Drosophila melanogaster: one gene and its partner. The protein of the gene in region 2 interacts with the protein of the main gene of each other region in a pairwise test. Each region holds a gene or a part of one and is shown on either strand. Other genes may lie near its edges.

Region 1 (4,341 bases), on a different chromosome or scaffold from region 2:
GCAGTCGTTTAGCTTTTAGAATTAGAACCACTCCCGTTGCGCGATCAATTGCCACTGAGCAATGGAATTTAGTCGTGTGCCATTTTTGATCGAAGCGGCTAATTTAAGTTGGCGATGCTAGTTAGTCGCCCCCTCCTTGACCCGATTAGATCTCACGTGAATCAGGGCAATCAATATGCATAAAATAGCAATCTCTCATTGTTTCGAATATATTAAACGAGTTTTCCCAGCACGGTGTGTGTGTGTGTGTGTGTGTGTGTGGAAATGGAAGTGGATATAACAACAGCTTGACAGTTGGATAAGGTCGTGTAAAATTGATGTGAAAGCTGAATAGAGCGCATTGGTAAACTGATAAATCACATATAATTGTTAACAGTCATAGAATTTGAAGCTAATAAAGTTTGAACGAAACCGGTTTCCAAGCGAAAATAATTATTTAGCTAACACGCTCCTAAATTATGCGATTAAGGCAGTTCAAATAAATAAATGTGAGGCTATTAAATTAAATCCAATGGAAGTGACTTTATAGCCGATAACTATTTTTATTATTCAACCGGGTAAAGAAATTGTGAATAAAAAAAATTATTGAATATATAATAAATTTTATGCAAATACGTTTATTGAATATATTTGTTATAATCATATCGGTATAACTTGTTGTCTTCTGCAACTGCTGATAAACATTCTTTATAAATAAAATGAGTAAATACTGTTTAGATACAAAGACGAATGCTTTTATTTGATAGTTTTTGTAAAATTCCTTTCATTTACATTTGAAAACATTGATTAGAATCGATTTACAAATACAGTTGTGATACTATCGCCATCATTGTAGGAGGAGTATGGAACAACTGATTGCATAACTCCAAGCATTCGATTCCACAGAATTCTCTTTGCATCTCTGCCCCAGACCAGATCGAAGTGGTTAAAGTTTTCATTCGGAACGAGATACTTTTCCACCACATTGGGCAACCTGTTGAAAAGCATGTCCACATCTTCCGGCGGAGCTATCCAATCGTTTTTGGCATAATAGATTGCCACCTTGGCCTTGACTTTCTCCAGTTCATAAGGCGGTGGGGACAGGCTGCCATAATGCAGGAAGTTCAACAGTCCGTAGTCAAACTGCTGGAATTTCCCAGAGTTCCTCAGCTGGCCGTAGTGGTGCATCTGCCTGATGGATGCACCGGCCGGAGTGTGACCCACTACGATCGGCAACATCGTTTGGTTCACTTGCTGGCCATTGAAACCGAAAAGAATAAAGAAGAGACTCTGACAGACACTGCTGGAAATGATATCCCGGCAGGCATAACGCTTGAACTGATCAATCACACTGTTGCTGGGCAGGAACTCATTGTAGCCAGCCGCGCTTAGGAAGGACTAAAACCAGATATTAGTTAAAATGTATAAAAGTGTAAACAAATCTTAAACGTACGGCAACTGCAGTATCCTGAGAGGCCAACAAATTCACAATGGGACTACGGCAATGGGACAGGAAGGCCACTGGAGCCAATGCCTGCATCATAACGATCTTTTCCATGTACTCTGGTCTTTCGCTGGCCAAAATCCAGAAGATAGTTGATCCCTGGGAGTGACCAATGTAGTGCAACTGACCGAATCCAGATTGCATCAGTATGTAATCAATGATGGCAGGCAGATCGAAAATGCCCATCTCATGGAACGAAAAGTTCCAGAAATCGGAGTCTTCGGCGGAGTAACGAACATGGCGTTTCGTATAGGTATTACCCCGCACATTGGCCATCCAGACGTCGTAGCCCTGCTCGTACAACATGTATCCTTTGGAAGAAAATCATTCTGAGTGCACTTAAAAAACGAATGAAATTCGATTGTACCTAAGGAACTGGAAGGACCCATCATCACCCAGGTATCGGAACTGTCCATTAGTCCGTGGACCAGCAGCACAGGCAGGGCTCCAGGACGTGCGATCCTGAAGAGTCCCAATAAGTAGCCATCGTCACTCTGCACTGTGTAATTCTCCGCCGGGTATCCATATTTGGAAATCAATTGTATCTGCAAAAACAGGAGAAACAAACACGGCTTAATATAACTATTCGCTAGAGATTTGCCCTTAAATACTTTGAGTGTACGTAGTATTGAGTGTACGTAGTATTTAGAATACATGAGATTATAAAACTATGACCAATCAGCGAGTAATCCGACCTTTATAGTAAGAGCTATAACCTAGAAAGCTATATATGTACTTACACTCACACAAATTGTGTCTATATCTACAGATGTTTTATAAGTCGAAATATAATGCACTATATTAATCTAGATTTTTAGATCTGGATAAACTTCCTATGCTTTATTCCAAATGTTACTAATCGTTGGAACCCGAATGATTTTTGAACTTACCGTATTCAAGTGTGCATCTTCTAAAACTGATGAAGGTATAGCCAGTTGAAAAGGATTGAAAAATGCATTGGCTTCCAGCTGGAATAGGCCCAAAAAGAAGGTCCATATAAGAAATTTCGAAGACGATGATAGAGACATCTGACTTTATTAGAGACAAACTTTACTAATCCGATGTATACAAGTTCCAAGTGGAAACTGAAGCAAGTAAAATTTTGGGATACTAAAAAAGATTGTACGTAGGCAATAAAAGTGCAACACTTTAACCTATGAATAAAATTTACATTTACCGCTTGGGTCTCAACTTAAATACTTTCGGAAATAAATATCATTCATGTAACTTAAGCAAAAAGTTTGTTGCTTAGCAAAATCGAATTAAAAGATATATACTAATTTTCATATCAAAAAATAGGAATAGAAAAGATGGGAATTAATATTAAAAATGTATTAATTGTAAGTTGTTTTTATTGGCTTTTATCGTTGTAAAATTGTTGTAAATCGTCTTAGTTTCTACTAAACAATAAATACCTAACTAATAATAATATACTGTGAATAACTAAATTATAACCATAGTTCTATTCCCCTTTAGATAATTGAATTCTCATGATTTCGCATTATTTCCAGCATTCGATCCCACAAAAGTTCCCGGGCATCGATGCCCCAAATGAAATCCAAGTGGTTGAACTCCTTGTCGTCCACCAGATATTTCTCCACGACATTGGGCAGCTTGCGGTTCAGCATTTCCACATCCTCCGGCGGAGCCAGCCAATCGTTTTGGCCATAATATAGTGCCACCTTGGCCCGAACATTCTCCAGGTGGTAGGATGGCGGGTCAATGGTTCCGTAGATCCAGTGGTTTCTGAGCCATCCGTGATCATACTGCCGGAAACCGCCAGATCTGTTGAGCTGTCCAAAATGCTGCATCTGCTTGGTGGAGGCTCCGGCCGGAGAATGACCCACGATTACCGGCAGCATAGTCTCGTTCAGCTGGAGCTTGTCGAATCCGGTGGTCAGGAAGATGACGTTTGAACAAATCTCTTTCGTAATAGTGGTCTCGTCGCAGATGATCCGGTTGAACATGCTGATGAACTCATTCTTAGGCAAAAACTCGTGAACGCCAATCAGCTTGAGGACCAACTAAAATATTAAAATAATATAAGTTAACATGAACAAATTGAATGAGAAGAGAAGGAGAAAGATGTTTTGCACTGGATCGTGTTTATAATAAACAATGATTAAATTTACATTAAATTTGGATGTATTCCACTGCAAAAACGCTCTTTGAAAGGATGGGATAATTAGGATGGGGTAACTTACGCTCACCGATAGATGCCACTCGGCCAGGAAGTTGACCACCGGACTGCGGCAGTGCTTGAGGAATGCCACCGGTGCCAATCCCTGCATCAGAATGATCTTGTCCATATACTCGGGCTTCTCGCTGGCCATGATCCAGAACACAACGGTTCCCTGGGAGTGACCAATGTAGTGCAATTGGCTTACGCCCGTGGAATTGAGGATGTAGTCCATTGTGGCGGGTATATCATGCTTTCCCATCTCGTGGAATGTAAAGTCCCAGAACTTGGCATGGTGGGTGCTATACTTAACATGCTTTCTCGAGTACGTATTGCCACGAACATTGGCCATCCAGACATCGTACCCCTGATCGTAGAGCAGGTAACCTTTGGAACAGAGCAACGCAATCAGCATGGGACATTTGGAGATAGCCTATGATCTTACCAAGTCCCTTGTTCGGTCCCATCATCACCCAAGTGGCTGAGCTATCCAGTAGTCCGTGCACCAGAAGCACTGGCGTTGCTCCCGGTCTAGCGATCCTGTGCAAGGTGAGGATGTATCCATCATCCGTCTCCAAGGTGTGATTCTCCGCCGGGTAGCCGTACTTTTTTATCAGACTGTACTGCAGAAGGGAAAAGAGACGAGGTTATTACAATTGTACTAAGAACAACAAATTTT
Region 2 (8,039 bases):
GATTTCAATGGCCGCCACTCGGCATCGCCGGCCCGCACCATTGATTCGCATGATTCCACCACCGGCAGCATGGATACCATTGTGGATCGCAGCCTGAATCCTGAGGAACTCCATCAGGTGGTGACCACCATCGAACATAGCACGAATACCACGAACTTGGCGGGATCGGGCGGTAGTCTGACCAACTCGCAAATCGGCATGCTTCAACGGGATGAGAATCGAAAACAGCAGGAGGACCAGGAGCAGGCGCGCCAGGATGCCCAAAGTCACATCTATTCGAGTCCTGTCTACGATGAGAAGCCGCCGGCGGTGAAACTCCTATCCGCCGCCCTAGACTTGGATGCCCAAAAATCCCAGGCAAACAATGATGACGATAATAAGCCCAATCTTATTTCGCACCAAGAGTTCAAACAACAGCTGCAGGAAGCTATTGCTTCGCGGCAACCAAACCAGGTAGGTCCTACAAAAAGTCAACCAAAATTAATCAATTTGTATCAGTTGAATCACCTAATAGGGCTAGAGAATCTTTAATTGTCCATTTCTGTACTGCCTTGCTCTCATTAATCCTCAGACAATCGAATATTGTACCAAACACATTTTTTCTTCTGTGCAGGTGAATGGCACTAAGAGTGGGGCCACCACTTTGGACTCCAGGATCAGTCGTAAACAGCGCTGTCCACCGGAATTTATTAAGTACAAGGAGGGCAGCGAGGGTGGAGGCAGTGGCTCATCGCTTTCCTCGAAAGATCGGCGCAAGCGCAAGGCGAGCAATGAATGCTGCTCGGCATTTCCACTGCAAATAGTGTTGGGCACTCTCCAGTTGCTCCTGGCCATATCGCTGGTGGCCCTGGGATCACTTCTGATCGTCCGAGAGGCAGCGCTCTCACTGGCGGGATGCGGCATCTGGACGGGATTGATAGCAGCCGTTACGGGCTCCCTTGGAGTGGTGAGCATGCGCAAAACCCAGACAGCGTTTTTGGCCCTCAGTTTGGTCTGCATCGCCAGCAGCACCCTGGCTCTGGCTATTTCCGGCGTGGGATTGTCAAGGGACCTCAACAGGATGGCGGAGCAAAAGGGTGAACAGGTAAAGCCGGGCTCTTCGCATTGAGGCATGTTTTTTTAATGGTTTCATCCATTCTAGTTCGACTTGATCGATACCAACAGCGAGGTTTCCGCTGCCTGCGGCCTAATTTTTGCCCTGTTTCTTCATTTTGTGGTCAGTATTGTATCCGTCTATCGTTGCGCCCTTCAGATTTGCACTAAGTAAGTAAGCTACTCCTACTACTCCTACTTTTATATATGAAAAGTGGTTGTTGTCCACTTTTGAAGCAATAATAATACTGAATCTATAAGCACAATGTTTTTTTTTTTATTGTTTTTAAAAGCGCTTGTACGATATCCATTAGTTTTTTACCAATTGAATTTGGAATGTTGCGGCTAATATAAGTAAGTAAGTCTGCAAAACCGTTGTATTTATTTAGCAAAGTTTCCGGAAATCAATATAAAAGGGATATAGAAATTTATAATAACGGTTTTTAGACGGTTTACACAAGATAACTTGTTTCGTGACGACGTTTTCGTAATGAATTGGTATTTTTCGCGTTTGGTATATTGCTAGACACGGTCACACGGGCCAAATCATTCTCAAATAAAACTATATTTATATGTTTTTTTTTTTTTAATTGAGTTATATAGACTTTTAAAACCGAAAGAATGTATTAAAAGTGTAAACAAAAATTTGCTGAATACGCACAGTAAAAACATCGGCTGCAAAAAGTAAATCGATGTTTTCGGAAAACTGAAACTATCGATGTAATCGATGGTAACATCGATTTTTTTGCAGCTCTAAAAAAACTTTATTGTGAATGTGTAAATAATAGTGATAAGAAGCAACACAGCTGTGCGGATTGCGAAGCGGATAGTAAAGCAGACGGCGTACGAAACGTGGGCGCATTAGGAAAGCGCTGCTTGTTGGCCGTAGGAGCAGCAGGGAAACCAGAGAAATCCGGAGAGGCAACAGCGCAGTCGACTGCGACGCCCACGCAGCGGAAGTAATAAAAAAGAAAAGTGAAATCGGAAGTAGGGAGAGTTCGGTGGAGGAGGAGCAGCAGGAGGAGTTGGAAACGCAGGGGGAACTCGGGCTCTAGCATTGTGCATCAGGATCTGGAAACAAAGGAACCGCTAGGAGCAGTTGCCTCACAACGCTAGCAGCCACCGAAGTCATGCCGCTGGCCGATTCGCAAAAGGATCTCCGCCAGCAGCCTCAGCAGCAGCAGCAGCAGCAGCATGTGTCCTCCACCAGCAGCAGCAACAATGCGGAGCAGCAATGCAGCAGCAGCGGATTGGGTCTGCAGCTGCGCCAGCGCATGCAAATTACCTCGTCCGGCTGCAGCAGCCTGGCGGTCACGCCCATGGAGCACACGCCCACCGAGGACGATGAGAGTGGCGGAGGCAACAGCGGTGTCACTTCCTCGGTGACCACTGTGACATCATCGCAACGCCGCCAGCAGCTGCAACAGGTGCAACAGCAATCTGCTCTGCAAGCGGCCCTCGAGCAGCATCACATCTCACCAACAGCAGACTTGGATTCCGCTAGGAAAAGGCCGACGCATCGAACCTTGTGCCCGCCGCCAGAACTTATGGAGCTGAGTGATTCCGAGTCCCAGGGAGGCGTGGAAACTGGCGGTAGGAGAGAAGGGGCTACTGGGCGAAGTGCACCTGATTTAGAAGACACCGAGCCCCTATATGAAACAGAAAACGAATTCGAGCTTAAGGAAGTCATCAAGGAGGGTCACGACAAGGCCGATCCTTCCCAGTTCGAGCTCCTACGGGTTCTGGGCGAAGGTAGCTTTGGAAAGGTGTTTCTAGTGCGAAAGATCATAGGCAAAGATGCAGGAACACTCTATGCCATGAAGGTGCTCAAAAAGGCCACCCTAAAAGTAAAAGATCGCGTAAGGAGCACAAATGAACGAAAAATACTAGCGGACGTGGGTCATGCTTTCATCGTACGTCTTCACTATGCCTTCCAAACTCCCGGAAAACTCTACTTGATACTGGATTTTCTTCGTGGCGGTGATCTGTTTACCCGTCTATCCAAAGAAGTAATGTTTACGGAAGAAGATGTCAAGTTCTATTTAGCGGAACTGGCGCTAGCTATGAATCACCTACACACATTGGGCATTATCTACAGGGATCTGAAACCGGAAAATATTCTACTGGACGAGCATGGCCATATAGCCTTGACGGACTTTGGTCTATCCAAGCAGCCTTTGGATGGCTCAAAAACATATAGCTTTTGTGGAACCGTAGAATACATGGCGCCGGAGATCGTGAACCGAAAGGGACACGATTTTGCCGCTGATTGGTGGAGTTTCGGGGTGCTCATGTACGAAATGTTAACGGGGAATTTACCCTTTCATGGCCAAACCCGCCAAGAGACTATGAATCAGATCCTTAGAAGTAAGCTGGGCATGCCGGAGAATTTGTCGCCAGAGGCGCAATCCCTGCTACGTGCTCTCTTCAAAAGAAACCCCCAGAATCGTTTGGGTGCGGGTGCCCAAGGAATTCTGGACATCAAGGCGCACTGCTTTTTTGCCACCATCGACTGGGTGAGATTAGAACGAAAGCAGGTGCGTCCGCCTTTCATACCGGCGGTTAGCCGTGACGATGCCTTTTACTTTGATGTGGAGTACACCTCAAAGTCCCCCAGGGATTCTCCGGGTGGCCCGATCTCCGCATCTGCCCATGAGATCTTCCGCGGGTTCAGCTTTGTGGCTCCTGTCCTTCTGGAAGGTCAGTGTGCTGGCTCGAATATGTGCTCCACCAGCGCCAGTCCTCTGCATAGTATAGCTCCTATTCCTGCTGCTCCAGTGGGAGCCCCTCGAACATTACCTGGTGTTCTTCCCGGAAACTTCCATGCGGAATATAATCTACTGCAAGAACTGGGACGTGGAACCTTTTCAGTTTGTCGGTTGTGCGAGCATCGAGCCTCCAAGAAACATTACGCAGTAAAAGTAATCGAAAAGGCAGCTGTGGCCGCAGCATCCACATCCACTTCTGCCGATTGTTGGGAGGAGGTGGAGATTATGCTGAGGTACGGCAACCACCCAAATATCGTCACTCTGTACTCTGTTTACGAGGATGCGGGGTCCGCATATCTTGTGATGGAGCTGCTTAAGGGTGGCGAGCTTCTCGATCGGATACTTGCCGTGGGCCAGATGTGCGAGAGTGAGGCCAGCGCGGTGTTAAGGACAATTGCATCTGCGGTAGCATATCTCCATGAACATGGCGTGGTCCATCGAGATCTTAAGCCTTCAAATATGATATATGCCAGTATGCGGCAAACTCCCGAGACCCTAAAGCTCTGCGATTTGGGTGAGTGCGGAGCGGAACTAGTTAAATATATTTTATTATAGCCTTGCAGTAAATTTTCCAATTGCTGACAAACATGATTCACTTTAAAAGCTAAACTTTCGTAATTTTTAATTCCTTTAACTATTATTTGTTTTCTAAGTTACTTTGTTATTTGCAATTTTAAAGGTTTCTTTTCTCCAAACAGAAGGTTTTTCATTTTAAGATCTTATTTAGCCAAAGTTCCATCCTATTGCAATTGAAATCATTTGATAATATTTAAATTCAGAAAGCATTTATTTCTGCAAGGCTATATATTTTTCTGTGCGAGTATTTCTTGTTGGTAGAGCAGGAGTAACCTTCCGATTTCCGCTTAGGTTTCGCGAAGCAGCTGCGCGCGGACAACGGCCTCCTGATGACGCCATGCTACACAGCCAATTTTGTGGCTCCCGAGGTTCTAAAGAGACAGGGCTATGACCTGGCTTGCGACATCTGGTCGCTCGGTGTGCTGCTTTACATCATGTTATCCGGCCGGACGCCTTTCGCCAGCACTCCAAATGATTCACCGGACGTAATACTGAAGCGCATCGGATCAGGACAAATTGACTTCACAAGCAGTCGCTGGGCACTGATCAGTGTGCCGGCCAAAGAACTTTTGCGTCAGATGCTACACATAGTACCGGAGAATCGGCCGACGGCGGCGCGAATACTTGAGCACGACTGGCTGCGGGAGCAATTCGCCGGCGGCGTACAGCTTACAGAGTATGCGGTGGCGCCCGGATCCCAACTTTCGCTGGGCGCCCAGCAGCAGCAGCAGAATCACATCTCCATGGCCTTAAGAGGCGCTGTTGATGCCACTTTCCGGGCTATTGCCATACCCCAGGCGGCGAATGTGGGACCCGTAGAACTTTCCATGCTCGCCAAGAGGCGGGCCAAAGATCGAGCCAACCTGCACTCCTAATCCTGGGCGGCTGCATGGTGTCCGCGGCGCCAGGCCAAGCGGCAGATAGTCCGACTACTTTTCCGAATCTATAGTATTCTAATCCAATGCTGCTGTGCCAATCCGCGTCGTCTTGTCAAGGACAATGCGCAGAAGCTTGGTTCACATCCACAAACGCTGGGCAATCCTCGCCAACGCTGCCGCAGCGCCAAGCTGCGTGTGGTTTAGGTTTTGGGGGAATCGGCCTAACCTAAAGTATTTGACAAGTGTTAATTATTTATTTTATATGAAAGCATGCCAATATGCCAAGGCCATAACGCACTGTGCGGGGCATCTATATACACATATATATAACTATACAAATACTGATATACATCTATATATAGCTATTTATATAACGAATCCTAAAGCAAGGGCCTAGAGAGCGCGTGTGAATGTGGCGCCAGGATCATCCCAGATGATTCCTGAAACCACATTATTTATCCCAAACTGGAAATTAAAAAAAAGCCTCTCGCCCAAGTTTACATATTTTTAATTAAATTAATCGTAGCTAAATTTTTCAACATCACCGTGTTATTGTTGCTTAATTAAATTAATTAAAATGAAAAAAAAAATGGAAAAAAGTATTAGCAAAACAAACAAAAATTAAGAATAAAAGCCGCAATCCTTTTATATAATAATAACTTTTTTCGCCAAACTATAAAGGAAGAACAAAGAACCCAAAAAAAACTGTGTAGAAAGATAAGAAAATCAAACCACAAGAGTTTCCACAATTCTTACTTGGAATGTCAATTTGCACAATGAAATATGAAACTAAGCAAAAGATAAACATAACTACCATATTATACAGAATGTGTACATAAAGCGGAAACTGTGCTTTTCGGGTTTATAAGGCAAAGGATATTAGAAAAGAGTATTTTATTAATAATTCCCTAAACAATAAAAACCGACGTTCTTTCCAACACTGCACAAGGGTGCATATTGTTATTTAATTGTAATTAAGAAACGTAAATCCTGCTAACTTGTCTTACAGTCGCGAAACGCACAGTTTAGTTGTAATAACGCCGGGGAAACAGTTGTGACAACATCAAATTGGGTTTCCATTTTGTTTGCTAACGTCTTCCAACAGAAATTATATCAAACAATATACCTTTTTGCGCTGTAACCAGATATAGAAAGTTCCGACTTACCATTGGATGATTTAGAACCGAAACCGCGATATATTCCATCATACTCGTACTGAATACAAATAGGATAGCGTCGTATAAACGACTTGGGTTAATGCAGAGAATTCCATTTGTTTGTGCTAGTTTCTCTAAAAACTGCACGATCATCAGTTCCCAACAACTTGTTTCGACTCTTCGAAGACAATTCCAATTTTGTTGTATTTTTGCCAAGGAAAACTTGTTAAAATTATGCTAGAGGGAAATATACAAAAAAAAAAAAAGAAAATACAAGCAAAGTGGAACGAAATTGAATAAATTATGTAGAAGAGCCATGTGAATCCTTAGAAGCTATGTATGCCACTTGAAAAGCAGAAGTTTCTTGTTTGCGAGCTTGTGTGTGTGCATAAGAGGCTGTGTGTGTGCTTCTTGTAAGTGCATGTGTGTGTGTGCTAAAGGATTATTGTGCTGTGCCACTACTGAACTTACTGCTACCAAAAATAAAACAATAACTTCATATACATATTTACACCACCTAAACAAGGTTAGTAAAACTTAGAAATTTTTTAAAAAAGGATAACATCCCTTGAATAAAACTGTATTTTCGTGGTGTTATTAAAAGGAGTTGGAGGGGGAAAATGGTATGATTATCCTAAAGTACATATATAATTAGCTAGCTGCGGAGGGAAAACAATGTGTACACATTGACATATAATATAGAAAATATTTAAGAAGGATCTTGAGATGAACATTTCGCCTAATAGTTGTCACGATAAACTTTTGCAAAATATGTTGCGTCTACAGCAATGATTTATACTTAATTACCTTGTTTTGAAATGACGACAACCAAATTGAAGGGATACGTCGTTTCCCTGCTTCGTTTTTTAACAGATTCATACACAAATTATAAAACGAAGTTGAGACAGGCAGAAAAAGAATTTTAGTCCACGGGCTGATGAGAAATCTAATCCAGCGATTAGATTAAAACTCATGTATACAAAAGTGGCCTACTATGATAAAAACTGTAATCATTTATCAATAATTCCGAACGGTCTCTTACAAAAATGTTCGGGTTGCACAAAAAGGACAGAGACAACAGATAGTTTAAGCATACAATACAAGCAACCCACTTTAAAGCCAACTCTCGACTAAATTCCCCAAGAACATACATATATATCTTAATCATATATATGAATGCGTGAATATATTTTCTTAGTAGATTTTAACAGCTTCCAGACTATACATACATTCAAATGATTGAATTCCGATATGAATCATTTAATTAATAAACATATTCAACGAAACTGATTCGAAATTATTGTTAAGTTGAATTTTTCAAACCAAGCAGAAGGAACCTAATTGAAAAACAAATAACCAATTCGAATTGTTTCGATCTAATTGGGATATCCAAAATACATTTATAATGTCGTATAAGACAGCAAGTGAATCATTTTCATTATTTCGCTCGATTTTTATCTTTCAATATAAGGATCTGTACCAAAATGGTTTAGGAACACTCTTCGGCTGTTTATAGAGTAAACAAAAATTACCTGCCTTTAAAAAATGTATTCATCCAAATATTAACT

The links.
Region 1: the proteins of S6kII (region 2) and CG18301 interact in a two-hybrid assay, tested with the Drosophila melanogaster proteins (one large-scale study listed by BioGRID).

The regions. Positions count from the first base shown.
Region 1 is NT_033779.5:10,530,022-10,534,362, reverse strand, and holds CG18301 (uncharacterized protein), read right to left. Parts: upstream 2,543-4,341; 5' UTR 2,512-2,542; coding exon 2,374-2,511; intron 2,029-2,373; coding exon 1,851-2,028; intron 1,795-1,850; coding exon 1,433-1,794; intron 1,378-1,432; coding exon 787-1,377; 3' UTR 716-786; downstream 1-715. Other genes in the region: Lip4 (lipase 4), read right to left, coding at 2,956-3,507, 3,688-4,049, 4,108-4,285.
Region 2 is NC_004354.4:22,528,129-22,536,167, forward strand, and holds the start of S6kII (ribosomal protein S6 kinase II), read left to right. Parts: upstream 1-1,835; 5' UTR 1,836-2,222; coding exon 2,223-4,374; intron 4,375-4,727; coding exon 4,728-5,311; 3' UTR 5,312-8,039. Other genes in the region: CG17600 (uncharacterized protein), read left to right, coding at 1-453, 614-1,084, 1,142-1,263.